3 linked regions of the Drosophila melanogaster genome follow. The protein of the gene in region 2 interacts with the protein of the main gene of each other region in a pairwise test. Each region holds a gene or a part of one and is shown on either strand. Other genes may lie near its edges. The genes, in order: CG7991, btd and CG15545.

Evidence for each region.
Region 1: the proteins of btd (region 2) and CG7991 interact in a two-hybrid assay, tested with the Drosophila melanogaster proteins (one large-scale study listed by BioGRID).
Region 3: the proteins of btd (region 2) and CG15545 interact in a two-hybrid assay, tested with the Drosophila melanogaster proteins (one large-scale study listed by BioGRID).

The regions. Positions count from the first base shown.
Region 1 is NT_037436.4:1,669,494-1,680,197, reverse strand, and holds the start of CG7991 (uncharacterized protein), read right to left. Parts: upstream 5,490-10,704; 5' UTR 5,077-5,489; coding exon 5,031-5,076; intron 1-5,030. Other genes in the region: CG13930 (uncharacterized protein), read left to right, coding at 7,493-7,675, 7,738-9,179, 9,240-9,455, 9,510-9,726; RabX5, read left to right, coding at 10,114-10,361, 10,422-10,523, 10,583-10,647.
Region 2 is NC_004354.4:9,692,577-9,704,004, reverse strand, and holds btd (buttonhead), read right to left. Parts: upstream 9,820-11,428; 5' UTR 9,332-9,819; coding exon 8,598-9,331; intron 8,159-8,597; coding exon 6,958-8,158; 3' UTR 6,447-6,957; downstream 1-6,446. UniProt on the Drosophila melanogaster protein: Required for the development of the antennal, intercalary and mandibular segments of the head.
Region 3 is NT_033777.3:30,867,175-30,876,945, reverse strand, and holds CG15545 (uncharacterized protein), read left to right. Parts: upstream 1-4,594; 5' UTR 4,595-4,665; coding exon 4,666-4,683; intron 4,684-4,746; coding exon 4,747-4,992; intron 4,993-5,075; coding exon 5,076-5,888; 3' UTR 5,889-6,007; downstream 6,008-9,771. Other genes in the region: CG15546 (uncharacterized protein), read left to right, coding at 812-2,044; Cpr100A (cuticular protein 100A), read right to left, coding at 8,263-8,728, 8,792-9,039, 9,263-9,274.

The sequences.
Region 1 (10,704 bases), on a different chromosome or scaffold from region 2:
TGCAGGGCTTCCTGCAGGACTTCCTTTCCTTTCCTCGTTCCTTTTCCATTTCTGCTTCGGCTTCATGCAAATCACAATTTGTGGAATTTCATAACTTGTTGGCAATTTGCAGGCAGTTTCGGTAGGCAGCCCCAGAAAATGACATTAAATCTCCGCAGTTGGGCGCACACCTGCACCGAACAGGAAACAATCGACTCCTGCTCCTGGTAGTCAATTTATGTCCCATCCCCGAGAGACACCGAGTAGCCGACCTGGTGCCAAACGGCACTTAAGCGAAGTACACGAGCCGAGAAGTCTATATCATGGCTGGTATCCGTATCCGTATCTCTGGAATACTCGCATGTGTGTGGCCCAAAATCAATATCGACTCAATTGCCTGATTTTTTAAGGCTTCCAAGAGCAAGCCACTCCTCCGAGTAAACCTGTCACTTTGTCAATTAAATTATAAAAATTACCAACTGACAGTGATGCTTACTTATGCTTATGAATATAAAACACCTAATGAATAAGATATAGTACGTCGTCATAGCCAAAGTTGTGAACATGTAGATTTAAAGATACCTTAAACCCATTTAATAGTCTTCCTAACGTACAAGTTTACCTTTGTTCTTGTTCAAAATGCAGTCCAGCTTAACTAGTGGCTCTTTTTTAGTCATTACTGCGCGACAACACTGACAGAAAACTTGCTGGCCCAGACGGAGGCGGGGATTCCCATTCCGGTGACTCGAGGGGCAGAGCAACTTCAGCACGTGCTGTCAGCAGAAAGACAGGCGGAGGGACCAGCCAGAAGCAGACGGGTATAGGGAGCTGGAGTGGGAATGGGAATGGGTCTGCCAAGGGGACGCAGTCTCTCTTTCTGCTGGGCTTCCCATCCTGGACTACCTTCACCTTGGCTGCAATTAGTTCTGGTAACATAATCTTCACTTACAACTTTATATGACACTAAATCAGTGCAAAGTGGGTCTGAAATCGGGAAATGGTGATGGTGATGGAGTGCGGCGAAGGGCAGTGGTATCGGTTCGCATGTGGGCGTTTCCCTTGGGCTTTACAAGCCCCCAATTATGGGCTCACACACGAAATTCAACGCTTTCGGAGCCGAATTTAATTAGTTCCATTTAAAAGACAAGACCGCGCCGAATGCGAGTGCTCAGCGAGCGTTCTTTCCGCATATTTGCACGCCAGTCGATAATCATCGCTGGAAATTCGGTCAGAGGTTGGCCCACCCCCTCCAAAGTTGCCGACTCTTCATCTGCATGCGAATCCACATGATGTACAAGGCTATATAGTACATACATACATATATATAGATGCACTGGCGGGTCAAGGAGAAGATGGGGCGTGATCCGCTGCACGCACACTGCCCATTTCATTTTCACTCTGCCCAGCAGGAAGATAACAGATTGGCCACCAGACGGAATGGCGAATGGCGAACGACGAATGGGATTGGATTCCAGTTCCAGGTGACTGCCAGACGATTACGTGATCCCCGAATGCCCATGCCCATACATGCCACTCATGCCCCCTTATTTTTTGTGGGGCACAATGGATGCTTGTAAACATATGTAAAGAAAAAGCTATCATGCACTTGCATCCCAAATGTCGCATCATAAAATCCGAATAAATTATTGCAAGGATTGTGGGCACAAGCAAAAAAGATGTTATCCGCTGAATCGAGCGTATCTGAGAATCTTACTCATCTGCGGATTGAACATATCTCAACGTACATCTTGTAAAATGTGAATGTTGCACGTGAGGCGGAGTAGCTCAAATTTAATGAAACATATCTAGCAGATACTCAGATACTTCCCCACATTTAAGCTATCTTTTAACACCCCGCTGGTAGCCGTGAAATTTGGTAAATTCCCCACAATAGATGTTCCCAGTGCCGACCATTTCCTGCAGTCATTAGCGATTGGAAATGGCTGAGGAAGTTCCACTCCCGCCTCGAGTGCAAGTGAAATCCGATGAAGTGCATCCCCGGACGCGACGCTGGGCAGTGGAGCGAGGAGTGGAGGCAACGCCTCATGCCGAGCGCTTAACTTTTCGACATGTTTCACATGTGATGAAGATTAAGTAGAAAATAATTACAAGCTGCGTCCGAAGCGAAGCTAAAGCCAAAGTTGAGCTGAGCTGAGCTGGGCTGAGCCCAAAAGCTGTGTGTGCGATCGCGATCATATCGGATACACTGGGATTGGGATTGGTACTGGGATATCGGGATAGCTTTGTGATCGCTGCGCGGCCGGCGGTAATTACATAAACAGCGATGTCAGTGCGGTGACAGGACGGCGTCATCATCGCAGCCCAGGGAGCCCAGTGAATCTGGAGCTCGGCAACTGCGACTCGCAGTCGATCATCAATCGTGCGAACTTTCCAGGGGACCGCCCCCTCGGAACGCGGATATCACTGCGGTGGGGGCATCGCCGCCACGACCTGTTCCCAGATCCTCGCAGCCAGTGCTCGATGCTCGATGGCCAGAGAAAGAAACCAAACGGCCAGCCGAAAATAAAAGGGCCAAATCAGCGTGTAAGATGCCGGGGCCATAAATTTTAAAGTAATTTTCTCCTGGCCCCGAGTAATTTATGGGAAAATATTAAGCTGCCCCAAATACTCCACATCCAGATCCAAATCCAGATCCCAACTAGCGCAGACAACCTAAATTCGACCCCAAAAAACTAGCCAAATAGAGTAATTAAATCGGTGGCTGACCAGCTTCAATCCACTAGTCCTTGCTGGTCGAGGATCATTCCAGCTCATTCCCGATTCCCAGCTGAACCGGCTGAGTTATGGGCACCCCATCCTCCTGCACTTTGGGTCACGATTATCTGCATACGCAGCCGGCAATAATAATCTCAAAATTGGCGCACTTAAGCGAGGATCCTCGGCAGGCGTAATTTGAAAGTTATTTTGTTGCCGGTGCGGTGAAATTATTGAGCAATATGCTGATCTGTAAAATCATAAATAAAAATATTTGTACTTGACCGCAGCGGAGCCAGGGTTTTGCCCTGGAATGAGGATGGGAATGGGATTGGGAATGGGAATGGGCATCCACCTTCGCTCCATCTTCATCTCATCTCCTTCCACCCGGACGACTTTTATGTTATGTTATGAGGTGAGATCTTGGATCCCGGACGCGGGCTCCGGATGGCGAGTCTGCGCCCGCGGCTTAACGATTGATAAAGTCTTTTTATTTACAAGCTGATAATGATGGTGTAGGTGCAGCTTTTGGCATTGCGACGGTTTTCATGTAATTTATGAGCAATTTGCAGACAATTTTCGAGGTCCGAGCTCGTGGAATGCGCGGAAAGTGTAGGACTGACCCAAAGATGTGGGCTAAGTGGGTCTCAAAGGGGGACGCAGTCCGGTCAAGTGAAAGATCTACAAACGGAATTTATGGGAATTAAGCCACTTGCAAATGGAGTGCCCCAAATAGAGCTCGACTAAACTCGGTGAGAAACTCTCAATTGGAACTTATGTTTCTACACTTCTTACACAGTATATCTGTGGGTTTTGATTTATGGTAATTTAAATTGTTCCACCTTGCTCATCGTCTTAGGTTTCAGATAATTCTCCAGACACTGTTTACCATTCCAATCCCATCCAGCACGCTTCCACCGAAAGCCGAAAACTATTTTGTAATATTGATAACCATCTCGGCGGTGGGGAATGGAGCTCGGTCAGGCCATTAAAATGTCACAACAAAACGCCGAACTCATTTTTCGATGCGGCACTGGGCCACAAGCGACCATTAAACCTGCAACTTGATGGGCAGCTTCTATAAAAACAGAAGACTCCGGGCACGAACTAAGCGAACCAAATAGCCAGAAGTGTCAACTGCGGTATGGTAGAGCCAAGAACTCTGGGTAAGCCGATTATGGGCCACGACTTTCGGGAACGGAACGCACATAAAATAAATGTCGCTGGCAGAGATGTCCGATCTCCGGAATCGTGTTAGGCGTGCTCCGCGGCTCAGGAGGCGGGGCTACCCACTACTGGGACTACTGCTTTCATGTGGCGGTGGTGTGGATGTCACCTACTCCTACTCCTGCTCCTCCTCGTTCTGCCTGCGTTGTTATTGCTTGTGTCGCTGCTGATGATTGTCATTAACATCACATTACCACAAGTCAAAGTCATGTTTTTGATCCCAAATAAACCCCGAGAGCTCAGAACTGAGATACAGCGAATGAGACACATAGTCGGCACTTGGTTGGAAAGTTATGGAGCAGATGGGATGGGATGGGAGAAGACGAAGAGTAACCACAGGAATGTGGGGAAAAGGGACAGTTTTCAATGCGATGCTCGATAGCAGTTGGCCACCTTGTTGGCCATCGGGACAAATCTGTTATGACACCTGACTGCGGGCCATGGGTTTTCAAAGGAAGGAGAGGGATTCAAGTGGGGGATTAGGGTACAATGTGTTGACCACACTATAATCATATTGGTTAGTAAACCCATTCTTCCCAAGCCCCTTAAGACCATCAAATCTTTATCCGACTGATCGTGAATGTGTCAAATCTTTCCACTTCCATCCCAAGTGTTTACGCTTGAAACCAAACCTAGTGAGATATTATCTTCTACACGGCGATCTGCATAATTATGCTAAACACATTAAATCCATTCATAAATCTCTGGGCAATCGTCATCCACAAAGGGAACACCTCGGCGAGAATTTCGATGGCCAGATATGAGCTATTATTCATGTCCCGCGTGGCTCGCGCTCCCATTTGTATTTGTCCAAGTCTTTTGTGGGTGATGAAGCCCAGCGGGGTGAATTTACGATCTTGGCCAGGGAAGCACTGAAATAAAATCAATAAACCAGTCGCTGGGCACAGCCAGAAATAATGCTTAAGATGCAAATTATGCAGATGAGTCGAGGCCAAAATATTCGAGCTTGTCACTGGACCGAAAATCGAAATTCACCTGCCCGGCGAAATCATATTTCTTGTTGCCCAATCGTTGGAGGCGTGGTCCCGTCCCCCGTCCCCCATTACCACCATTCCCACAAACTTGGCCATATAGAAACGGGGACTTACTCGAAGAGCTGCTCGATCGCTGAAGACGCCTCTTCCAAAACAACATTGTGTTCCTCCTCTTTTGGCGCTGATAAGATCGTCTGCTGATTGGTTTCGTTATTTCGTTATGTGATCACTGGCTATGCGGGTGTGGGTCTATGGCGAAATGATCCCTCTCGCGGAGCAACACAGCTGATTAGCATAAACTTCGAATCACTCAGGAACCGAGCTCTCCCGAATTGTATCTTTCAGATACAGCCACGGCTGAATGGCAACTGCACTTGCCCAACGCGCACAACAAATTGAGACATTAGCAGCCGGCCAGCGAGGAAAGTTATGACCCGAGCTATGTGGAGTGGTTTCAATTCGTTTTTTCCCTCAGGTGTCTCAGGTGTCAACTGGAGGCGAGGTGTGCTCAATTAGCCGCCCGATTTCAGCACTTCCGTTAAGCCGAGCAACTCGGACTTCTGGCCCGCTCGACGGTTAATTAACGAATAAAAAGTCGCTCCGCTGCCTCGAAAAAAAACCTCCGAGCTCGACTTGAGCTCGCTCTGCCGCCAGCTCTTCTCGTCTGGCGCGCTGGCTCGCTGGCTCGCTGGTCTTCCGCGCTCCCTGCCACAATGGAAACGAACTGAAAATGTGTTACACCGAAACGCCGGGCGGCGCAGTCGACGCTCCGAAAGGGGCAGTCGTCGCACATTGGGGCCAGTGGGGACATAAAACAGGTGTAAGAAGCCCAGACGATCTGAATGCGAGCGACATATGGCTAATAGCCAGCCCATGGGCTGGATCGAGATGGAGATGGCGCGTTTTATGGGTTTCCAGGGTGCGGACACAATTAGATGTTCGTAAAAAGTGGCGTTTTATTTCACTTTTCAAAACAGGGTCCACTCCGCAGACTCGTTTCTTGCGGGCTGGCGACAAAATTATTAATTATCTCACAAACACTGGACAAACATGGCTAACAACTGGCTGGAGTTAAAAGGTAGTTACATCAGTGGTATCAGCTTGCTTACAAGCTGGGTTAGTCCATTAAAAAGCTATCACAGAACTGAGTCTTAAACTTAAAGTGTAATTTTAAAATATTATTAATATTTTTCAACACCTCAAAGATGTAATTCAGTGTGGCGCTGACTGCGCAGTCGCCGCCGGCGTCGCAGTTGGCGTCGCGTTGGTGGCGGTTCACTGAATTTCGCTGACTGTAGGTGGTTGTTGCTGCCCCCAAAATGTGTAACAGCAACAACAAGAGTCTGGCCAAATCGGCCAACAACAACGATCGTTGGCTCGTGCAGAGTTCAAAATGCACGCAACCTGCAAGACAGGCGACTATTGTTTATAGCCCGCTTGGATTTGTTTTTTTTTTTTTGCTCTTAACTCTTTCTTTTCGCTGGCTGCCTGCACATTTATTACTTAACGCTTTGATGCGTTGACGGTTTGATGGTTTGTTCTTCTTGGCCATCAGTTGCCCGCTTGCCGTGTGCCCCTCCGTTTGACATAGTGCACTTGGCCATATTCGCTCGGTTTGGGCCCCCTCATCATCATCGTCATCGTCGTCGTCGTCGTCGTCGTCCTCATAATCAGCCCTCTTTTTTGCTATATGTTCATCAAGCGAATCAGCGTAGCGAAGCATAAAGCCAAATTAACATAAACAACTTCTTTTCGACTTCCATATCTTCTATACACGGAAAATCGCTTTGATTATTACAAGCTATCTTCAAATTAAGATTGTCATATTTATAGTTTGGGATTCATGTTGAAATAATTTCTCTGTAGATACATTTCTTTGCTGTGAGCACTTAACCTAATCATATTTCATTCTTAACCCGATCTTATTTTCGTTCAGTGTGCTGCACGGCTTGCTGCTCTCAATCGCCCACATGGCCAAGTGCTCCTCCTCATCCCATCTTTTGCCCATTTCCTATGCGGCTATGTGGCGGAATTAAAGACCTTTTTACCATATACCATCTAACTATTTTCCGTCTGCTATTCTTCTACTGTCTAATTGGAATATGAATACGAATTTCATTTGTTGGTAGTTTGTAGTTTGTATTTTGTAGTTTATAGTTTGTTTTGCTTTTCTCCGGTTGGGGGATTTTTCTTGTGACAGGTCAGAAAGCCGCGCAAATTATTGGAATCACTAAAGGTAATGATCCAAATTGATGTTAGACTATGGTGGCTTCATCTTCATTGCACAACTGGAACTACATTCATATTTAAATATACGTTTTTGCTTACCAACCCACTTATTATGCACTTTTGTTGCGCGATTTAAATGTGAGTTATAAATATTTATGGACGCAATGAGTGCAGTCATGTGTGAGCCTGCTAATGGAATTCCGTGTTGCAATCGGAGTGCAACTACAGCACTTGGTAGTTATGGCACCCATATATTGTATCCACCATTGTTGCGTTGCCATGTCTGCACACGCAGTAAACAAGTTGGGAAATCGGCGGCACGCGCTCATTCAAATTAATTGAGAAGGATGTCGCGACCTTTGAGGAAGGATTACCGCACCGCGGACTTCGAGCAACTGAGCAGGATGATTAGGGACCATCCGCTGATGAAGGAGCCCGGAGCGGAGCAGCAGCAACTCCATAAGCTCCGTACGCCGGAGTACCGAACGAAGTGCGTGATGAGAGCTTCCTTGGATGACATTGCCTTGGGGGTGAGTGCCTATCATCCTTAATGTCCAAAGAAATCAAGCCATACAGTATGTTTATTCGCCAGATCAATCTTTACAAGCTGCAGCTGGACACGCCCATGTCGCCCACTCTGGAGGAACCGAATTATCTGAAGGAGCCTGCTTCCTCCGCCCGCTCCGCCCACTCCGCCCGTCCTCCAGCCACGCCCTTCATCAAGGTGCTGCTCCGAAAGACTCCCATCGTGGTGCTATTCGAACGGCGCAGCATGACCGCCTTGGCGGACACGGAGGAGGGTCGCCAGGTGATGGAGGACAACCGGAAGTACGACGAACTGCTCTCGGGAACGGACAAAACGCGGAGAACCGTCGATGCGGACACCCAAACCATGACGGCGCTGATGAAGTCCAGGCTGGTGAACACCGAGCGGCTGACCACCGCCCAGATGGGTTCCTATGTGTCCAACTTCGAGATGTACGACACGTACACCGACCTGGAGAAGTCCACCACGAGTGTCCAGGTGCAGGGCGCGAAGAAGATGGAGATAACCACCTACCACGTGGGCGGGGTGGATCAGTTCGTGGGGATCAACTGCCTGCCCGGCTTTCGACTGGCCCTCATGCTGACCATGCGCATCTTGGCCAGCAATGTCTTCGAGCCGCAGCAACGGAGGTACAGGAACATGGCTCCTCCAGATCCCTTGGCCGAGGACGTCAAGTTCAAGTACCGACTGGGCCTGCTGTGGCGACTGAGCCCCCCCTCGTCGGATCCCAAGGTTCATCAAGCGGTGAGCGACATGAGCTTCTGTCCCAGCAATGGGGACATCATGGCGGTGGCCTACGGGGTGTACAGCCACGGCAAGGTCAGCAAGTTACCCAGATCCGGCTGGGTCTACGTGTGGAACATCAAGAACCCTGTGAATCCGGAACGACGCTACCACTACCAAGTGCCTGTGGTCACCGTGGAGTTTTCACCCACCCAACCGCAACTGCTGGCCATTGGACTGCACAACGGAGGTGTGGAGGTTAGGGATATTTCTGGACAGGATCTGCCACCACTAGCTGTATCGCAGCGTTTGTCCTCGCCATACTTCGAGCCAGTAACGGCCATTAAATGGATCTACTTCGAGGGCGATGTTGGGTGCAGGAACCCGCACATCACGCCCTTCTTGGCCACTTCGCAGGCTGGGGCGGTGACCAAGTACCGGCTGATCAATAGTCCCAATATGCTGGGACTCGAGCAGCAGCGTTTGCAGCGGGCGGAGGGCGAGCTAGAGGGGATTCCCATCGAGCGACAGCCTCCGGCGGCTTCCCTCCTGGCCAACAGGCATCCGCAGTGTCTGGAGATTGTGCTCGATCCTGTCCAGTCGGACATATACTACGTGCTGACCGACGAGGGTACCCTGTACAAGTGCTCCACGAACTACCCGCTGCAGCACTTGGAACTAAGGCAGGTGCACGATGGACCCGCCGCCTGCATGGAGTTCTCGCCCTGGTCACCAAGGATGTACCTCACTTGCGGCAGCGACTGGTGAGATCAACTGCGATTTTGTTCCGGGTTTCTCTATCCTCACTCATGCGTCCCCATCAGGTGCATTCGTATCTGGCTGGCTGGAATCCTGTTGCCCATCGTGACCCTTCAGCATCACCTGTCCCCGGTGCACTGCGCCCGCTGGAGCCGCACTCACTCCACCATCCTGGTCTCGCTCAGTCGCAGCACCGTGGACATCTGGGACCTGCGCAATAGCACCATGAAGCCGGTGTCCTCCACGGTGATAGACGCCGACATCTTCTACACCACCTTCAAGTGAGTTCAGAGTCTTCTCCTTGAATGATCCTATCGCATCTCCTCGCCTTCCAGATTCACCCACTGCGGCCGTTCGCTGGCCGTGGGAAACGAGGCGGGCAACCTGTTGATGTTGTCCTTCGAGGACATGCCATTCCCGCCGCACTTTCAGTACAAGCAGCTGAAGAGAGCCATCTTCAAGGCCCTCTCCATGCAACCCGATCTCCGCAAGCAGGTGAAGAGCGTCGGCTACTTTGGCTATCCAGGTGGGACGAAGCAAACAAGGGCTTGATTAGATTAATCAAGATATTATAACCATAAGCCATTGTATGAGTGTTATGATTGACACAAATAAAGCCACCAAATACCAATCCAAAGCGTTTTCCTTTCGGGCTTGAAGGTTTAATGATATGGATACAATGGCAGCCCAATATTAAAGCTCAGCTCTTAAGGCCTTCTCCCTATCGGAACTAACCCACACCCGAGCTGCTCTTATCGAGCACCTGCATTTGCAATGCAAAGCAGGGGGTGTAAGGTAGCTTTCGGCACCTTGGGCATGTGATAGCCACCAAGTTCAAGCCGACCAAGTTTGTGGTTTGCGGCGGAGGCGATGACGCCGACGACGTGGCTGGCTTCCCCAATTTGAGCTGCTTAGTTAGTTGGAATAGAGACGTCCGCCATGCCCCATCGACTGCGGCAGAACCTGCTGTTACCCCAACCGCCCACGGTGGTCCTGCACGATCCTCGCACCCACCTGCGGCACCTGCCACCCGCCTACAGTGCCGCACAGACTCCGCTGAGCAAGGAGCGGGACTTTGGGGCGCAGGTGCGCTACTACCTAGAGGCGCCTCGCAAGCCCAAGTTTCGACCCTGCAAGGTCATCTTCGTGGGCGACTGCTCCGTGGGCAAGACGGCCATCGTCAATCGGTGAGCATGGCATGGCATATAGGCATTACTAAATTAATTAACTTACACAATCATCCGCAGATTTTGCTACGACAAATTTCAGTCGAACTACAAGGCCACCATTGGCGTGGACTTTGAGCTGGAGAACTTCAGCATTCTGGGTCACAACTACAGTCTGGAAATGTGGGTCAACTGCCTAGAAGGCGCTATCAGTTTGGTTTTGAAATGTGCTCTACTTGCAGGTGGGACACTGCTGGTCAGGAGCGCTTCAGGTGCATCGCCGGAGCCTATTATCGCAATGCGAGTGGTAAGTACCAACTAATTAAATCATTAGGAGAGAGTTTTAACAATACAAATCCATAAC
Region 2 (11,428 bases):
AAAGTTGGAAAACTCTGCGGACCCAGCGAAGCGGCGAAGCTCGATGATGTATACTGGTCCTTATCCGATTTCCCCATTGTTTGCCAATTGTTTGCCGTTGCGATTCACATTTTTATGCATTTTTTATGTATATCGCGGAGTACATGATTGTGTTGCTGTTCGACAAGTTCATAAAAAATGCAAACACGCTGCTTCAACGGGAATGTTTGTCCGCCTGTCCGTCCGTCTGTCCGTTTGTCCGTTTGTCCGTTTTTCCGTGATTTATGCCTTCGCATAGCGTAGCTCTCTTTTTGGCCCATTGTTGTTGGTGGACCGTTGGACGGCCGGACCCGGCTATTGGCGCCAAGTTCGAAGTTCTTGGATGCCCGATGCCCGGATTCCTGATTTCTGAATCCTGATTGCCGTTTCCCGAGCTTATCGAACACTCTACCACTACTGACCGCGCGGCATCCATTTCCATTTCCGCTTCCGCTGGCCATGTTTTCCACTGCCTCTTGACGTTTTTTTTTTAGCTGTTTTTTTTTTCTTTTTTGTTGCGGCAAGCGCATATAAAAAAGCTTATGCAAATTTTTTGTTGTTTACTCAGTCAGCTCTTTTGTGGTCGTTGTAGCCGGTTGTTCAAGTGTCGATTTCGAGTGGCAAACAGAAATCTGGGATGGGTAGCATAAGTACTTCGAGAGCCAGCTACATATGTACATACATACTTACATACACTATACAAAATACAATATACATATGTAGTATATTGTATGTTGGGGGTGGAAAAACCCAAGCCAGATTTTTGTTTTCAGTTTTAAATGGGGTGGAGCATTTTTTCGTGAGCTCATCATTGGGTTCATTAGTTGAAAGTAGAGAGCAATCAAGTGGTTAATAATTTAAAAATGGTAAAAGTTTAAATTTTGCAATATGAGCGTAACAAGCAATTGTCCAAGGCTACAAAAGCTTATGCAACTATAGGGCTAACAACAAATAAATGTAAATATCCTAAACAACAAATTTTACAAATATTCATGGGAAAATTTAGTAAAACGCAGAAAGGGGTTTAATTAAGGAAAGGCTACTTTTTAGCGTCGCTCCATCTCGTAAATTAGTAAAATTATTGGACAAGCTAATTTAAATTAAATACACTAGATTTTTAAGCCCTTATTCGAGACCGGGTTGAGCGAATTTCTATATTTATATACAGACCTTGTTTATTGTGTGCTATAAATAATAGAAATTGCCCACTAGAAATCCATTGTTCGGCATCGGCGTTTGGTGTTTTTTTTTTGTATTTTGTATTTCACACATTGTTGTTATGTCGGTAGGAGATCTGAGGTGAAACTCTGGGTTCCAAATCCCAGATCCCAGATCCCAGACCCCAGGCCAGAACAAAACCGAACCGGACTTCATGGGCCACACACTTTGTAAGTGTTTTGCGGTCGTAAATAATCTCGAATAGTTCGCATTCGTTGCTGAAGTTTGTTACATGGCATAAATCAAATTCTTGATTTATAATAATTGCAAAAACACTCACTCAAACCGGTGGAGCGACGGTAACTTGGAACTGTCCCACACATGTCAACCGAATCTGGTTTGCAGGAGGTGCCAAGGGGAGTAGGGATATTACAATATATATTCGTAATTGTTGCCACACACGTCAGAGCCAGATCCACAAGTCAAAAAAAAAAAAGAAAAACTAATACTATATCGAGGAAAATTGTATAAAGAAATATGTGAAATATTACTGGAAAAATTAACAAATCGTTCTATTGTAAATAAATGATTTAAAAAATACAAAGAGTCCAAGTTGTATTTTATCTGATTTTAACGTTCTTTTTTATTTATTATTTATTAAAAAGCTACTAGGCACAAAATCAGAAGTCTATTTAGGAGTTATCCGGCTAATGACGCCCATATCCCTGCTGCTTTTGATACCCTGTATAAACGGAAATCACACCGAAAAGCAGGCGCAGCAAATCGATTTATGCCCTCCAAAGGGGAAATTTGGTAAAGAGGGAAATGGGAAAAACTTAATCAATTCGCAACGCTTTTTCGTGGTCATAATGCGGCATTCATACACATATAAATGAGTGTGTGTGTGTGTGTATATGCATAGACAACTCCCCTTCTGGACTCGAGTGTGGGCGTGACAGGTTTGGCGGTGGGGGGAAGGCGCTACACGGTGCAGACATTTAAATGCATTTTAATAGATTTTCCACTTTTCCTTTAATTTTTTTTCTATGCGCACCAGGAAACGGAAAACAAAACACACACGCGTATTAGTTGGTGTGCGTCTGTGTGTGTGTGTGTGGGCGGAAATGGGGGCGTTGTGTGGTGTGGGGCAGTGGGCGTGCCCCATATCGATAAACCGTAGCAAACCGAAAGAAACATTCTTTGACACAAACAAATAGGCGAAGCGCGAACAATAAAATCAAATTAAATGCAGCAGAAAAGGAGCAATTTAGTCGAGTCCTTTTCTATTGGAGTCCTTTACTTCATTTTTTCTTTTGTGCAACTGTGAATTAAATGCGCCTGGTCATTGTGGAGCCATTAGCGGTGCTCGAGCGCCCCTGTCCCGGTTTTCCTTTTCGTATATATATTTTTTTTTTTTTTTCTGTGCTGTCAGCATGAAAAGTGGAAAATTTATTGACTGCACATATGTCGCACTTTTTCCATTGGCTCCTGCCACACATCCAGTTGTTGTTGTTGTTGTTGTGCCCTTAATGTTTGCCCTCGCCTAATGCACACACATAAATATTTTAATTTGTATGCCGCAGATGCCGTTGGCCCGATTGAGTTGTCCTTCGATGGCCAGCGTTGAGGTCCTTATCCCTTTTGGCCACTTTGGTTGTCGAATCGAAACGAATCGAATCGAATTGAATCGTATCGTATCGTACCGAATCCCCAATCCTTCACATATCCTTAACGATTGTCACGGTCTGATGTGAGCGACAGTGATTGGGTCACGTGCCAAAATCGACAAAGGACTCCTTTGATAGCAGTTCATCGATTGAATTCAACGCTGCTCATCAGGTACTTGATGGGTGGTAATTAATTGATATTCAAATGTGGCAAACCTGCACATATGTATGTATGTAGTACCTGTCTCAATTCGGAGTTCATATATTTACGAATAAGCGTATTAAAAACAATCTATATACTCGTATGCATTAACTTGAAATTTGATATAATTTAACAAATATTTTTTGCTCAATCAGCGCTCATAATAGGTGGCATAAATGAAGACATCCGTTTTTGTATTATAATAGCCAGCTGATGGCAATCCATCGCTGAGCTGTTTATCTTGTACCTTTTGGCAATCGGGATTGCGATCTTGTAGCGCGATTATCCTTTAAACACATGTCATCTTAGCCCCCAGCCACTGAAAACTTGTATTTGTATTCCTGCCGAGATCTGCACCCGCATCGAGCCAAAATACCGGGCCATATGCCGCAACGAAACGATCTTGGGCCAAAAGACAAAAGGCAATAGAACCCACACGCACACACACGCACAGGGAAAACTCGTCGGTGGTTTCGACCGCAGGACATAACCGAAATTTATAATCACCGATGACCATGTCAAGCACGCCCACCGCCAACGCCCCTCCCCCAAAAAAAAAGAAACCCGAAAAAAAAACAGAGTGTATAATAGGGGAAAATGTGAAAAGTGAAAAGTAGAAACTAATAAATACCAAGTGCCGATGAAACATAAAACATTTTCTAGTTAAGTCATGTTCGATCATCTCGACCGCAGGACCTTTTCTTTTTGGACACGCTTGCTTAGCGCAGGCAGTGAGATAATCTCAACTCAATTTGCTGTCCTCTCGAAGGATGAAAACAAGTGAGGAGCACAAGGATCGCTCCTGCGCCTCCTGCGAGCGCCGAACATCAAAACAACGATTCTGTGGAAATGTCAAGCCCAGCAAGGCGAGTCAAGTGGCCAAAGCGGGCCGATATTATTTATAGCTCCGATTAAAATTAGAACGATATCTGGTTACCCCAAAAAAAAAAAAAAACTTCGACAGCGCCACTTGAGAATCTGTGATCCTTGAGGAGCGTGCCCAGAAGTCCCAGTTACTTGAGTCGAGTATGTGTGACAACACTTTCGGTTTGCCATCGGTATTTCGTATATATATCTTATAAATTTTTATTTTTTTTAAGTGGCCATAGGTGTGGTGTCAGCTAGCCACAAATTCTGGGAACTTCTCGGCTGCTGATCTAATTTTCTGTCGCTGCCCCAAGTGGTTAGTCATGTCGCAATATCGGGTTATGACTTCATTTTGTGATGTGATTTCATAATTTGTTTAATTTGTGTTTTTTTAACAGGTTGTTGGACAAACAATATTCGGCTTAGAAGATCTATGAAATTTCGAAAGAAACTTTATTAATTACTGTATTTAAAAATATCATTATAAGAACTCATATGTTGTATCTGTTTAATTGGATTGCTTTGAAACTTTCAACAACATTTTATTATTATTACTAACTGTTTAAATGAATTGAACTAAATTGCATAGACTACCAATTAATCTCACATTATATAGGTTTAAGTTCTGGCGATTTCGTGCATTAGACAAAAAAAAAAAGAAAATCTAAGAGGCAAAATCATTTAAATAGGCCCTAAACAACTAACATTTCCAGCAATTCTGTAACCCATACTTAAAATTACACTTTCGCCCCTCACAAGAGTTGGTCGAGAGCACTTTTCGAGCCATTAAACCGACCAAAACAGTAAAGACTTATACCTCATGTTCGAGTTAACTCCTCTACGCAATAAAACAAAATATTGATGCGGTGGCGGGGGCGGGGGGGGATGGGTTAGGGGGTGTGGGGCAAAAAAAAAAAACAGAAACGAAGAGACGCGAAGAAAAATTAACAAATCATAACATCATCATTTATCATCATTAAGCTGCGAGATTTTATATTTTGTATTTCTTGTTGTACTCTTCTTTTTTTTTTCTGGACTTTTCCCTTTTTTGGTTATGTTTTATTTTCCCTGGCTGACCGCAGACTTCAGTTATAAATCAATCAGATTTTGTTTGCCATTTAGTGGAGCGCCCCGAACAAAAAAAAAATCAAGGTGGTGGTTGAGGGTGGGGCAAAAAGGGTTTTTGGGTGCTTGAGGTTTGGCGTTCGACGTTCGGCGTTTGGGGTCTTAACGCGGCCAACGCGGCGTATGATTAACGTGCGTGTGAAGTTGTCGGGCTGCCCCATCACACCCTCCTCCTCCTCCTCCTCCTCCTCCTCCTTCTCCGCCTCCTTCTTCCATAGAAAAGTTTCTTTCTCCATTTTTGGTTTCATATTACTACGGCTCTACCAATCCGAAAGCAAGCGAGGTTGTCAACCGCTTCTTGCACCATTGCATCGGGCATCCAAAGATGGTGATGACTTTGGTTGAGTCCAAGACTTGCAAGTGGGCGTGGCACGTTCGGGGGCTTGGCGCTCACTCAACTTGAAAATTGATTGATGCCCGGGCTGGGCAGCATAAATCAATATTTTATATTGGCCGCAATCGATCTGCATCGCTATCTCTCGCATCGCTTGACGGCGGATCGAATTGGATCGAACTCTTCTCTCTCTCTTTTTCTCCGGCGATTCGATTGCCAATCTTCACGCCATCATTGTATTTTTATTATTAGTTTTTTTTACCCCCCTCCCCCCTTATTCTGCTGGGACAAAATGTTTCCCGTTTAATTATAAACTCTGTGTTGGGCAATTCATTTTGGGCTGGCCAAAGTGGGATAGTCGCTCGAGCTAAATTGACTCTCATTGGTTGCCTAAAGATTGAATATGTGCCCCTTGTGAGTTATGATCCCCAGTTGAAGTAAGGGGGGTGGGTGTGGGGTATAGATGCTGAGCTGCGGGAAATGGGATTAAATTAATTTCGCAGCTAGGAAAAGGACCGGGGATCTGGAATCTTGAAGAGATCTAAAAGTGGTAAGCCGCTTTTAGTGAGAAAAACTACTATTAAATCACATCCGATTGTTATGAAATTCTACAACTATGTGTATCTTGACTAAATAAATCATTGTATTTAAGGATATATACATATCACATTCGTACCTTTATTTATGCACATTTTAAAGTAAAGCAATCTATAAATGATGTACATCTCCCAAGCTAACAATGTTTTTGCAATTTTAAAGCGATGGCCGACGTTGATGAAATTATAACTAGAAATGCAGACAGCTATAATGATTGCTATTGAAAAAGTTTCTATTATTATCCAAATACCGCCAAAGGTCAGCACCCAAAAGCAGATCAAGTTCGCCGGAAGTCGGGAAGCTTCCTGGATCCCTCGATTTATATGCAAGAAAGCAACCCCTGGCGGAGATCAAACAACCCTGAAATCTAACCAAGCCAGGAACCCATTAACAAGGGTGCGTCGGGATCGGAGAGAATAATAAAAAACTGGATTCGCTTTGTTTTCCGATATTATTTTGTTCGTTTTTTTTTTTTATTGTTAGGATTTCATTTCAGTGTGGGGATTTTGTCGCCTTGGATTTTTCACTTTTTGTTGTTGTATATAATTTATCTTAAAGACAATTAACAATTATTATGGTACACAACTAGATGGTTTCTCTCATTCTATATGGTATGGCTTAAAAAGAACGCTATATATGTTTGTATGTACAGACATGCAAAAAAAAATGCCTTAGCTACTAGATTGGGGGAAAAAAAATGAAAAAAATTCAAGTTCTAGTCTCTACATGTATAGTTAATATATGTGTATGTATATATATATATATATATTTATATAATATTATATAATGCCTTATACGGTATTTTGTGAATTCAAATTTTTTTTTGATTTTCACATTATATTTTTATATCAACAATAAACACTGAAAAAAAAACACACACTAGATTTTCGTTCTACGCTTGCTTTGTTGCCGTTCTGGGTTTTGGGACATTATGGCATTTGTTTCATCAACTTTCAACTGTAACAATTTTGGGAAGGATCGGGGACATCCTAGGCGGTGGCATGTGGATGATAGGCCGCTGCCCACGCATTGTGATGGTGCGGATGTGGATGCGGATAACCGTAACTGGCTGTTCCCGCACCAAAATCAGCCGGATAACTGGCCGCATACTCGGACTTCATGTGGCAACTGGAGCTGGAATCCTGGCTAGCTCCGCTGGCCAATCCGCTCATGGTTAGCCCATATTCCGCCGCCAGCTGGGACTCACTTTGCATGGCAAGTGCGGCATAATGATGCTGGGCCAGCGCCGTGGCTGATGCGGCTGGGGAAGATGCAGATCCAATGGCAGAAACGACCGCTGCCGCTGGGGAACTGGCGCTGGAGGATGAGGATGAACTGGCTGAGGTAGTGGCTGGTTGTATGGCACGGCTGCTGCTACTGCTCCACGGCTGCTCCACAAAGCTGGCCGCCGCCGATGATGTTGTCGTCGTCATCTGCTGCTGGAAGAGCGGCGGCGGTGGCGGCGGAGGATTCACACTCGATCCGGCGGATGTGGAATGCTGATAGAGATTGGCATAGGGCGCATAGTTGACCAGCGGTGTCGTATCCGGCTGCTCCTGCTTGAATTCCACGGGTGGCGTCAGTGGCTTACCCGACTTCTTCTCCTTCTTTTCCAGCTTTATCGCCGCAGCCGCCTGCTCCTTGGCCTCGGCGGCCAATACCTTCTTGCTCTTCTTGTCCTTGAAATGGGTCTTCTTGTGCTTGCTGAGGTGATCGCTGCGCGAAAACTTCTTGGAGCAAATGGGGCAGGCATACGGGCGGTAATTGGTGTGCGTACGTCCGTGCCGCTGCAGCTCATCCGATCGGGAGAAACGCTTGCCGCACGTGAGGCACAGGAAGGGCCGCTCGCCGGTGTGCCAGCGCAGGTGGGTCTTCAGATGCGACGCCTTACCGTATAGCCGTTCGCAGCCCGGAATGTGGCAGATATGCTGCTTGCGTCCGCGCTCATCCGGACCCACAATCGGTGGCAGGCCGCTCATCTCGTTGGTGCAATTGGGACACGTGCAGCGAACGGAGCGGCGTTGCAATTGCGTCTGGAAGGCGATGTCGTCGAAATTGAAGCCCGGATAGCTCTGTGAACTCCATGGCTGATAGAGGCGCTCCTGATGCGAGAACCAAGCGGCCGAGGAGGACATGCCCACCGCATTGCCGTAATAATCGGAGGCGTACTGGGCATATGGAAACTGACTTCTAGATGGAGAAAAGAAATGAAGACAGAGAATGGTTAATTTGGTTTTTTTTAATCATTTACTTAATGGGTACACCTGCTATCGGAATACTAAATTGTAATGTATTCAAGTGGTACCTATCATTTTATAAGTTTATGAGATTATTTGTATGCTAATCCATTTCAATCTTCGGGATAATTTGATTAATATATTCCTATGTATTAAACTGTATAATTTGCAAAAGATATATGTCTTTATCTCGCTCATGATCGAAATACAATCAGCCTGTAGTTATTCTATTAAAAGGAGATCTAATTCAGATCGAAATTAGTGTATCCCTAATAACCACAAATTTGATGATCTATAAGCTTTGATTTATTGATCACTAGCATTTTAAAGTTTCTTTCTTACGAATGATTCCCAACTCAACTTCTGTAAATCCTATATATAGGGATATTTACCTCGCTGGCCCCAATCCGGAGTAGGCGGTATTCCAGCCGTAGGCGGCACTGGCGACCGCCGCTGCTCCAAGGTCCGCTGCTGCCGCCGCAGCTGCTGCTGCCGCCGCTGCAGCCGATGCTGCTGACGAGGATGGTGAGGAGGATGTGGGTGATCCCGCTAGGGCGCCCGCTGCCGCCGTTGTTGGTGGCGCCAAGGTCGTGGTGGGCGTGGATGGACTAGCCGAAATGGAGGCGAATGACTGGGCAGGTGATGGGAAGATGCTGGGCGACACGGAGGCCGATGATGGCGCCGATTGTATGCTGGAGTTGGGCGATGCGGTGCCCGTGGATGAGGCCTGTGGATACGGCAGTTCCAGCTTCATTGGCGGCTTTCCATATAGCGGAGAACTGCCGGAGCTGGAGCCGGAACTCGAGCCGGATAGGGATGGTGGGGCGGACAGCAGGGCGGCGGCGCTGAGGAAGTCATGTTGCTGCTGTTGCGGCTGTTGTTGTTGCTGCTGTTGCTGCTGCTGTTGCTGCTGTTGTTGTTGCTGCTGCTGCTGTTGCTGTGTCAAGTGTTGCATATGCTGCTGTTGCGCCTGCTGATGCGACAAGTGCAGATGATGTTGCGCCTGCTGCATGTGCAGATGATGTTGCTGTTGTTGCGCGTGTTGCTGATGTTGCGCATGTTGCTGCTGCTGCGCCTGATGCTGTTGCGCATAGGGATTTAAGTAATTGCAGGCCGCATCGATCATGTTGAAAACGCTTGCGATTTTAATGTTGCGCTGAGATTTGTTTGGATCCTACTGCTGCGATTGCTGCTGCGTTTTACTGCTTCTGGTTGCTACTGCGTTCGTTAACAATTTTCGCACATTGCTCTTGCACTTATTGATATTCGCTCGTGTAATTATGGCACGCTTTTCACTTTAGTTTTATAATTATAGTCTTTTGCTGCCGCGCACGTAATTGCGAGCACGCGGAGGAGAACACGGAAAAAACACAAACAAATTAAAGGCGGCCGAAAATTCGCCAATGCTGCGTGCAAATATATATATATATATATCCCTCTATATATACAAATCTATATGCATATATATATATATAGATCCGAAAACGAGCGAGTTTCTCTGCTGCCACTGCGGCTGGCTCTTCTGCTTCTTCTTCTTTCGTTCGTAGTGCTGCTGCTGCTGCGCGTGATGTGATGTGATACAACCACCGGTAATTATCGTCGATTGTCGACTGAATTCCAAAACGCGGCGAGAGAGTCTAACAACGTACAAAACGAATCCACTTGGCTGCGGGCAGAGGCGCGGGCAGAGGGCAGCGGCAGCGCTGCTGCTGCTCGTGCTGTCACATTCTCGCACTCGTCTATCGCCACTGAGCGCTGAGCCAGCTCTCGCTCTCTCTCGCTCTCGGCACCATCATGGTGGTTGTTTTTGGCCGCAACGGTGTGCCTTCGGGGCAACTCGCTTCGTCTCGCTTGCACGTGTGGCGCGGAAGTGTCACTCCCGGCAGCAGCAGCCACTCTCCGTAGCTAGCTCACTCTCTCTCTCTCTTTCGCTCTTGCGGTATGGTGCTCTCTCTCCACGTTGCTGTTGCAGTGTTGTTATTGCTGGCGCTGCTGCCGCGGGCGTTTTGTTTTAATTTCTATGTGTGGGTTTGTGTGTCAAAGCAATTGGGTGAGCATGCGTTTTGTTGTTGCTGTTGTTGTTGTCGTTTCAGCTAGTGCTCAAAATGCTTATATTTGTTGTTATTGTTGGTTATATCTAAACTTTAAGCCAAAAATGTTGGCTTAAATTTAATGCAAAGTTTGTATTTAAGAATATGTGTAAATAATTTACATTATTAGCATTTTTAGTGAAGTATTTGAAATATTTGATTAGTGAAGTATTTGAAATATTTTATTATTTAGTTGGTTAATCTATATATTCCATAATTTATGTTTATTTTAACCCTATCAACCCCTCAAAATGTGTATAAAATAAATAACGTATTCACGTATCCTTTGCAATTCAAAATAAAGAGCTTAGCAAATATTTTAGAAAAATTGTATTAATTTTTTTTAAGTCTGCTAACTTAGAGATAGTTTCTAACTACAAATTTAGTTTTTATTTTCAATTTTAAACATTTAAATTTCTCATATAAACCTTAAGTACACACAAAATATAGGTATTGTTACATATATCCGACCGATTTTTAATGCCCATAAATTACTCGACATTTTACACATTTCAAGTACCGTCATTAAAAGCACGAATATCTGCTTAAATTCTCATTATCCCCTTGCCCACTCAGACCATCAATTTGTTTCGATGAAAGTAAGCAGACAGAGAGAAAGAAGTATGGCTCATCACTTTAATTAAATTAAAATTTCTGTTTAATGGCATTTTTCTCCAGAGGATCCCAATGATAAAAAGTAACGTTAGAAGACGAAGAGGGAGCGTGCATAATTCAAATATCAATACAATAACAATAAAAACTAATAAATTTGTGGTCGCGGCCCAATGAAATAACTGTATTTAAAGGGGCGTTGACCAAACACCACCACAAAAGAGACAGCAGCTCTCTCCTTCGCTCTCTCTCTCTCGCATGGCCTGCGCCCGTTTCGTGTGTGCGTGCGTTTGTGTATGCTTGTGTGCCGCATATTAATCACAATTGCTGTTGCTGTTGTTGTTTTCGCTCCCTTTTTATTACGCGGCGTCTTTTTTATTACGCATACGCAACGTGGGTCTGAGCCACAAATTTTACGACTTGCTGCTGCTGTGAAAAGATAATGATGACTCCCAAAACGGAACAAGCTCACGGAAGTGCATCTCGACTCTTAAGCTACCCATTGTTAAGATGAATATCAT
Region 3 (9,771 bases), on a different chromosome or scaffold from region 2:
TCATTCAAGTGACACTCACTTGCGGCCAAAAGTACGTTGAAGTTGAAGCCATTAAAGCACCCAATAATTGGCATCTGTTGTCGTTTATTATTCTTGGTCGGCCAACTTTGGCGGCATTCTGGCTTTTTAGTCCGAACGGACAGGCCAAAAGCGAAGTAAAAACCAAAACATTTGGTCAACGCTGAGCTCACGAAAATCAACTTTTCGTTCCAAAAGTGAAAAATGCCGCGATTTGGTTTGACCTTAGATGGAAACTCGTCTCTGCCGCTGCGCCGTCGACTTCGCTGCCAACGTCCACGCTGCACTGGCAGCAAATAAATTTTTGCCTCGATGCTGTTTGTGTTTGTTGTTAATAAGTCACTCGAAGAATTTGCAAAAGGGTATAATGTATTTTCAAAAATCTTGCGAGAGGCTAAAAACCAAAACCAACAAGTGTGTCATTTTCCAAACTGCCTGCAGTGAATGCAGCGCACTGTTTGCTTTCGAAGAAATCGAATATGGAAATATAATTAAATGCTGTATATTTCCAATTCGTAGAGTATCCAAAAGTTTATAAACACAGAAACTCTCGTTTTTACTCACTTCTCGAGTTATTTTTCGCAAGAATCGCAAATTAGTCTGGGGCCTGGTTGATCACCTGAGCAAACGAAACTGAACGCCTACGACAAATGACAACGCCGATGGCGACGCCAACATCTCAGCCATTTTATGTGCTCTCCGGCCTCCGACGGATTCTTTTTGTGTCAGTCGGTTTGCGGACCAGTCTCCGATCAGTCGAGTGGACCACCAATCCGGCGAAGATTGGGCGACCATGCTGAACGGAAAATTCTACACGGGCTTGCCGCCCAAAATGGTGGAGCGCCAGGCGGTGAAGGTGTGCAATCGCCAGGAGTCGCACTTCTTCTGGCCAGACGATTCCCGAGCGGATTCCGCGGTGGAAACCCGAGCAAAGAGGAGAAACAGCCAGCAGCTGGAGAGGCCTGTGGAAAGGATTACTTCCAATCAGAATGTATCCGACGAAGTGGACACACGGCGAATGTTTCACAAGGAGTTTGCCAGTTCTTCCATACAGTTCTATGATAATCTGCAGTCTAATCCTGGAAATAAACCTTCATTGGCAAGGGGTCTACGCAGAGAAATAACCCCAAAACTAACCGAAGTGAGACCGCAGGAATCGGATAACAAAGCTGAGGACACCAGCAGCCGTCGCCAGCAGGCTTACAGCTCCAAGATCCAGTTCTACGATTATGTAAACGAAGCAGATAACCTAACTCAAAATAACGCCAGGAGACCACAAATGGACTTGAATGACAAGCGCGAAGTGGAACTGAATTCCAAGAACAGTCCCAAGCTGCAGGTCAAAAGAAATGTGCGCAGTTTCAGCGTGGAACTGGAGCCCAAGGTCACCAAGAAACCCCTGAACGACAGTCCCGAGTGGCGGCGGCCACGCCCACTGCCCCTGCCCAAAAGGATACTGAAGCAAACGTCACAGGATCAGGACCCGTACGACCATCTGGAAAGTCGAGTCCGAAGATTGCAACTAACCCGAAGTCCCGGACTGCCCAAAAAGCATGTGACCTACAACGAGGAGGCTGCCGAGTACGCCTACTACGATGATCGGGTGGATCGCGATGATCGGGAGGATCGCGAGGATCGTGAGGAGCCCACCTACGAAACTCGCTACCGTCAGCAGCCAAATATGCCGACAGGAAGTCGCCAGCAGCAGCAGCAGCAGCAACATCAACGCTCTTTTATGGAAACTAGTCGGAGCAAGCCATTAAATAATAATAATAATTATCAGGCCAACGGCAATGGTAGGAAAATCTTTCCAAAAATGCCACAGACCCAATCCGGAGTGGGTAACACACACACTATCGACGAAGATCCCCCCGTGCCCTCTGACCCTCGCAAACACCTGCGCAGCAGCCTCTGCTTCAGCGGCGACGCTTTGATGGTGGGCGGTACGGCGTCGCAGTCGCCGCCCACTGCGCAGGCGCGTCGCAGCTCAGCGGGGCAGAGAGTGAGCGTGGGTCTGCCGGACTGAGGGCTCCAGTTCGCGTGTTCAGTGATTAGTGCAGCTACACAGTGAGAAATGCAAGTGCAAAAACATATAACTGAAGCGATGAAGAAGATCATACAAGAATATCTGCTTGACAATCATTAGGATGAAATAGTATTACAAATATTTCTCTATGTAGTAAGTCGACAGCAACAATCTGCATTGCTAATTGAAAGCCAACAGCGACTGCAACAGAAGCAGCAACAACATCTGCAGCACAACAGCCACATCAGCAGCAAGTTGATGCGACAGCAGCAGCTCAACCTTTTTTTAGTTTTTACTTTTACGATCCCATACAAACTCTGAATTCACCCACATGCGAATGAATGAGTCGGCTTTTTTGTTGTTTTCGAGCGGTTGAATATACATACATAAACAAACCTTGATCTTGACTAATTTGTCGGCGATGCTGTTGTTGTGCACCACGATCATGTATTAATTTAGCTTTTAAAGCCAACGCAGAAAAATCTATAATTATAATGATAGAGATATGCTAATAAACTAATACATATATAACCAAATAAATTTCGAATCGGGAAATATTCAATTAAGCCTTAAAAACCTACTATAGGCACAGAAAAATATACATGGGCACTTAATCAATTCGTTTGGTATTCAGTTTTCAAACTAATAATGAAAGAGAGTGAAGTTCAAGTTGTTATATATTTATATCGAGGTAATCGAAAGCAGGCGCACATTGAACTTGGAAAGGCTTGCCATGAATACAACGCAGCTATTCATTGTGTGCATTGTGTGAATAGAAACTTATTCATACCTCAAGCTCACTGATGGGCCTGTAATCTGTTTGGCAATATTATGAATCGATCTAGTATGTAATTCATAGACCGTAATGTAATTCGAGGCACCCTTTCGCGCGGCTTTTCTTTATCGACTCATTTGAAATTCCCAACAATTTGCTAGTCTGGCAATCAAGTCCGTTGCTCTGGGCAGCTCACCTGGCCAGCCCATTTTGGGGCTGGGGCTGGGGCATTCGCAGGTCCCTGCCCCTAGCTCCTTTCACAAAACTTTCAGAAAGAAAGAGCCATTGAGGTGGCATTGTTAGGAGCCAGCGGAAATCCAACCAAGCTTGCAGTCAAGTTGAAGTCCAAGTGCCAGTTTAAATCGCGACTGGTGGGGTTTCCGAGCGGTTTCACAAGGAAACGGGGCATTATGCGGCGTTGCAACCAATTGTCACGCGTGTTGAACTTGAGCTTGACCTTGTCTTGGAACGGGGTGTGGAATCCAACCACCCATTGTCCAGCCAGCAAATTGCAACAAGTGCGGCAATTATCCAACATATGCCACGGGGCTGCAATCAAGGCGGCATTAGCCGGGAATTTAATTAAGGCATCGCTTTAATTGCCGACAATCTGCAGCTGCCATGGGAACCCAATTCAAAATCCAGAGACAGGATAAGCGTGCAAAATAATTGTGCAAATGAAGCGTGGTGAAATGTTACGCAACTCCCTGTCCATATCCACTGCCATTTCTCAAACCATTTCTTCGTCCATTTCCATTTCCACATCCACATCCACTTCCACCAACTCCGGGACAAGACAAACTGCTCAACCTCCGCTCATGTACGTCCATACGGCATACATCTTCCGCATTTCGATCGCGCATCCTGGCCGATAGAAAGTAGTCCAAGCGTGCCGGCAAAAAAGGCGAAAGGGGCCAAAAAGCAGCGCCAGCTGGCTAACATTTCCTGGCTCGACTTGGCCCCGACTGAACCTGAACTTCGGGCCAAATGCGGAGAGAAGAAAAGTGCAGCGTTTATTGGGTAATACTCGTGGAAACCCGTTTGCCGCAAGACTGATTTAAAAAAGTCGATAGGATAGGTGGTTCTTCTGCTTTTTAGTGGGTGGGTGGCTCGTGCCGGTCGACGTCATACACATTAAAAAATTGTTGGTGTAAAGTGAGCGATTGTAATAGTTAAATATTTAATGGAACGTAGATATATTACCATTTTCGATTATGATTGTTATGATTATTAATTAGCAATTGTAAGTTTGTTACTATCGAATAAAGGCATTCCTTTTAGTTAGCTGTATATTAACAAGTTTGAGGTCAAATTACGCTACTCAAAAAAGCCATCAATCTTTGCCTATTAACTATATTGTCGTACATTTTGCATATCTAATTTGCTTACTTTCCTATTAAGTCACATACCACAACCTAAGCCCCCTCCACAGTTACAACTTCGAAGAAGTAAATGGCCATCGTTATGTGTAATTACGGCCATAAAGAAACATTTTATTTATGCCCCCTGCCCCATCCGATAAGTTGGCGCTCTATTTCCTAGTGGAAATGCAAATAATGCCTCACTTTGCGCGCGGTAAACTCTTTTTTTTTACTCCATGTTGTTGTGAGTAGTAAGTCCATGCGTGAAGCGGAGATTTCGATCTGCTACTGACTAGCTGCTCACCTGGCAGGTTTCAATTGCGATTGCCATTGCGAAACATGTTGCAGCAGGTTCGAGGAAGCTAGCATAAAACTGTTGCGTCCGTTGGCCGAACTTTCAGTTTCGTTGGGGCCACGCTGGTGGTTAATACCATTGAAGAGAGTTTTCACAAGACGCAATCACCCCGAAAAAGCCGCCACCCAAAATGAAAGTGTGCTGGAATGTAAGCTGTTGCATCCGCAATCGTAGATTCACAATTAACATGAAATGGATACTATCTCCTTAGTTCTTTGCTGCGGCGGTGCTGTTAGTGACGGTCACCTCGGGGCTGAGACCCCCACGATCCTACTATCGGAGGAGCTACTTCAGTGCAGTGGGTTCAGGATCTGGGCACGCACCCAGCTCTCTGCCAGGACCAGTGAGAATAGGACCCGCTAGTTACTTCCGTGCCGATCTGCAAACAAATGAGAGCAAGCACCGGCCACTGAGCAAAAAGTATCCCAAGAAGAGCCACTACAGACCCTACGGATCGGTAAGTTGGCCTAACAAATAAGATATCAAATAATAGGAAAGATCTAAAAGCCCGAAATAATACAATATTCCCCTAAAATATAGCAAGAGGAAGAGGACGAACAACGCTACAATTCCGCGGAATATTCAGGAGAGTCCTCCGTTCAGGATAGTCGGGAATACACGATTGGCACCCAAATTCGCGTCCAGCATCCCATAACCGTGCCCAAGAAGTCCAGTTCCGGCTACCAGAAGCAGCCAAAATATGTGACGGCCATTCCATACAAGGCATCTGGTTATGGATCCGATATCCACAAGCCCTCCGGTTATGGATCCGATGTTCATATTGGATCTGGAGAGGATGTTGGACCTCCTCCGAAAAGATCGAAGTGGACCCCAGTGCAATACGAATCGGAAGCCGATCCCTTCCATCTAGTGCCACCTCCAAAGGCAACCGTCGCCTCCAGCAGCAACTCATATAGTGTTTATGAGCCCGAACACGATGACTACGAGGTGGTTCCAGTGCCCCGACCAAAAAGCCACGATCGCTACAAAAGCGTCGCCTCCAAGAAACAAGTAGAGGCCTACCTAGAGGATCAGCAGAAGCTGCTCGACGAGGCCATCAAAGTTCAGCTTTTGAACAATCCGAAGCTGCAAAAATTCTTCAAGGCCCAGGCGCAGGAACAGGAGCGGGAATCGCGGCCAGACCTCGAAATCGAGGATTTTGAGGCCTATCCGCCCAACTTTTCGGGGCCCGGACACCTGCGCAACAAGTACATCGAACACCCACCATCTTCTCCGCCGAAGGGATCTCGATCACGCCGGCGTCCTCCAAGTGGAGATCTTAACCGACCACCCAAGACCATCATCAAACCGAAAAGGAAATACCGATCCACAGCACTGGTCATCAATGTGTGAGAGGGATTACTAAGTCCTGACTTAATCGTTAATTAAAATATCGTTTATAAATACTTAGAGTAGTCTTGTTGTACAGAGTATTTTTAAGTAATAAAAGACCATTTATTTTAAATGCCCCTATTTAAATGACTTTATCTTGGAAGTTTGGTGTTGATATGAAAGAAAATTATGGATATATTTTGATGCATTTAATTTATAATTTACGAATTTTAACATACGAGTTATTTGGCGCTTAGGAGCAGTTAAGCATAAATAGTTGTATATTTTATAAAGTGTTTTAATATACTTTTCTGTTGTATCTATCAAGAGAACGGTGGCGGTCTCTATCGGTTTTTGAAAGAAGTATAGAGTCTCGGTTCTTGTCTCAGCTAAATGTATGGTGTCCCGGCTTTTCTACCATTTCATGAGGAGAATTCGTCACCAAAGTGAATCCGATAAGGAGTGTTGCTGGCTTATTTGCTTAAAAAAAAAAAGATTATATCACTTAACTCAATTGCAAATAACCTTTCAATTTAATGATGTTTTCAAGTTTATAATACGCCACTTTAATTAAATATATTAATTACTCATCAATTTAATTGGATTCTGTATTCGTCACACCCACATCGCCATAATTGGAGTGAGTTCCACATTTCACGACAAATTCTGGCGACGTTTACCTTTTTAAAAATAAACGCAGTCAATCATAAACGTGTGTTGTTCATAAAAATAGACGTATTAAGAACACTTTGGAAGCAACACACCCATGAGACACCTGTTTCGATCCCAGGCAAATTCTCGACTCTTACCTCTTTCGCAAATCCGAACGAAAATCCGCAATTGAGCAAGCCAATTCAATCGATTGCGATTGCCGCAAAAGTGGGTGCACAAAGGCACGCGGAGAAGAAATCATAAAAAGCAATAAGTAGCAAAAAACAAAACCGAATTGATTTTCTTAATTGACTAAACAGTTTCAACAGAAGCCAGACCCCAAAGCCAGGCAAAGCAAAAATCCAAACTCCAAGCCGGACCCTCGAGTCCACAACAAATCTGACCTTGAAAGCTAAGCTCTGAAAAGTGTTGCTAATATTGTTAATGTAATCGTTGTCGGTGGTGAAAAGGAATGCCAACCAATGGATGTGGAAAGTACAGAGGGAAAAATGCTAAAAATAAAGACAACAATAAAATGCTAGCACTAAAAATATTTAAAAAATAAGTAAAAATGGAATCATGAATAAAATATAGTCAAATTAGAATAGATTTTGAGAGATATTGAATGAAATCAATTATTTCAGCATGCCCTGAATTAATTTATTATTTCCGAAGTAAATATATAGGTATAAGTGCAATTAAATAATAGAATAGCAATCGGTGCTCGAATTAAGTTGTAAACTATAACACACATATGCTGAGAACTCAGCAGGTGAGAGGAAATAGCAAATTAGCTGGCGGCATTCTTGCGTTCGATGGTGCATAAAATATGCAAAACATTTGGATGTTATTAAGTTGCACTAACGCAACTGGAGCCTGACGGATCGCAATACCATTGGGAATTGATTTAGAGCCCCAATCCCCTAATGAACCAGTGCCACCCCCACTTGCACATGGTTTTCCGGCTTAGCCAGCACCAGCACACCAGGCTGATTTCATTTTCATCGGAATTTTGCACAATTGGCCAAGATTACTGTCAAATGAGCGAAACCCGTTTGAGGTCTTTCCTTGTTGGCCGCATAGAATCGTAACAGAAACTCGAAACTTGTTTTGCACGTACGAAAGTCGGTTGTGTAATGCCGCATTTAGTGGGCGTTCACCACCCGAGGTGTTTAGATAAATCTGCTGGAAATTAAATAAGCGGCCACTGGCCGAAAAACAAAAGACTGCAGGACACGAACTTGGTTTCCTTCATATATTGTTTTTACTCGATTATAGTACAAATTGCTCAGACGTCCCAAGGCCCAAATTAACATAGTTTCTAAATTAATTTTGATCATTTTTCAACATCATCGAAGTTTATTGACTTCTCTTTTCTTGGGAAGACTTAAATGGAAAGATTAAAGTTTAATGGGAAAGTCACAGAGAAAAAGGCCGACATTTCTTGAGTTTTTTCATATTTCAAAAATATGCAAATGATATTTTGAATATATTTTGTAATTTAAATCAGCAATACCCATTGGGCAGCAGCGATTAATTTTCTCTGTGTAGGATTATAAATTAATAACAAACAGTACGCATATAGGAAGTACGATACAATTGCTCTTAAACATATCACACGAGAGTTTGATGGAGTCAAGAAAAGAGTAGGGGTTCTAGTTGTGATAGGGAAAGTTGGAAAAGAAGAAAGAGGATCCCTACTAATGAAGAAGATGCATAATGTCTGAGTGGAGGACAGTGGGGCTTATACCTTGTTGAAGGAGTAGGTGAAGCCATCGGGCGTGCGGTTCAGGGACAGTTTGCCGGGTGGCGAAAAGCGGTGTGGGTTGGGGGTGGTGGTGGTGTAGTACGCCTGCTGGGGTTGCGGCTGCTGATACTGGGGTTGGGGCTGCTGATACTGAGGCTGGTACTGCTGCTGCGGCTGCACGGGCTGTGGGTTGTAGGCGGGCTGGGGAGCAGGACGGTACTGCGGCTGGGCAGCGGGCTGCTGGTAGCTCTGCTGGTTCTGTCCGAAAGAGGGATCGTTGTAGCGGGGATCGTAGGAACCATCATCTCCGTAGTCATTGCTGCGGAAACTGGCCTGCGGCTGGGGAGCGGGAGCCTGGTACTGCTGCGGCTGGTACTGCTGCTGTGGCTGATATCCCGCTGTGGGCACGGGCTGTGGTGGAGCAGGTGGTGCCTGGGGCAAGTGATCTCCAGAAGCTTGGAAACTATTTCGGAATAAAAACCAAATTAATACAAGTTCGGGTATTTGTTCTATAGAAAGTGCTTACCCATTTTTGCCAGCTGTGTACGAAATAGTACGCCTCTGGCCCGTGGGATCCAGATAGCTGTAGCTGCCATGACGTGTTCCATCCGCATCCGTCTCCTCCTTGAAGTTGATGCCATCCTCCTGCTCATAGGCAGCTCCGAACTTTCCATCTCCGGACAGATAACGCTGCTCACTGATGATGGCCGCCGTTTTGGGATCCTGGTGATAGTGCTGGCTGGAAGCCAGGGCCACCAAGGTGGTCAGTGCAAGCTGTCAAGAATTCAAAATTTATTGTACAATCAAGTATTTGTGTGCTGCCAATTCCTTAATCTGAGTCATTATCACTTAACGTATTATAAGGTAAGACTTTCACTATTTAATGTGTACTCTAGAATATCCTGGTTTGAATTGACACTTTTGTCCGTCAGTTTGATTACTTTTCTCTTAATAGCTTTTAAATTGTTCGAACAGCCTTGAATAAAACACAACTCACAAATCTGAACATTTTGGTGTGGGGAATATCCTTGTCAAGCGTAAACTGCACACAATTTTATCTTCTTCTCGAGGGGGATTCACACGCGCCTTTACGCTTACAAGTCGGTTAAGAGGGAAATGGGACCGACGGCAACGGATTTGTGGAGTTAACTGCCTTCCGCAACGGTGCCGCCCAAGCTTTTTATAGTCCGAGCGGGAACCTTGGATCGCTGGATCGCCGATCGACTCCGCCTAGGCACTCCAAGCTATGTAATTGTGTTGGTACTATTAACGTTAACGGCAACAACAAGTCGGCCAAGTCGGCGTAACAATAACAAGAATCGAGCTAAGTGCTCCAATAAGTCAACTTTGGGCGAGTATTGGTATCGCGGTCGTGTTGCCAAGTCGTTTTACCAGTTTCGATCTCTTTCGCTTGGAGCGCCAACTTTTGCTTTCTATATATACGAATATATGCTATATGCACTTAGTTCCACCGTTTCTGCCTGCACCAGGCCCAAGCCCAAGACG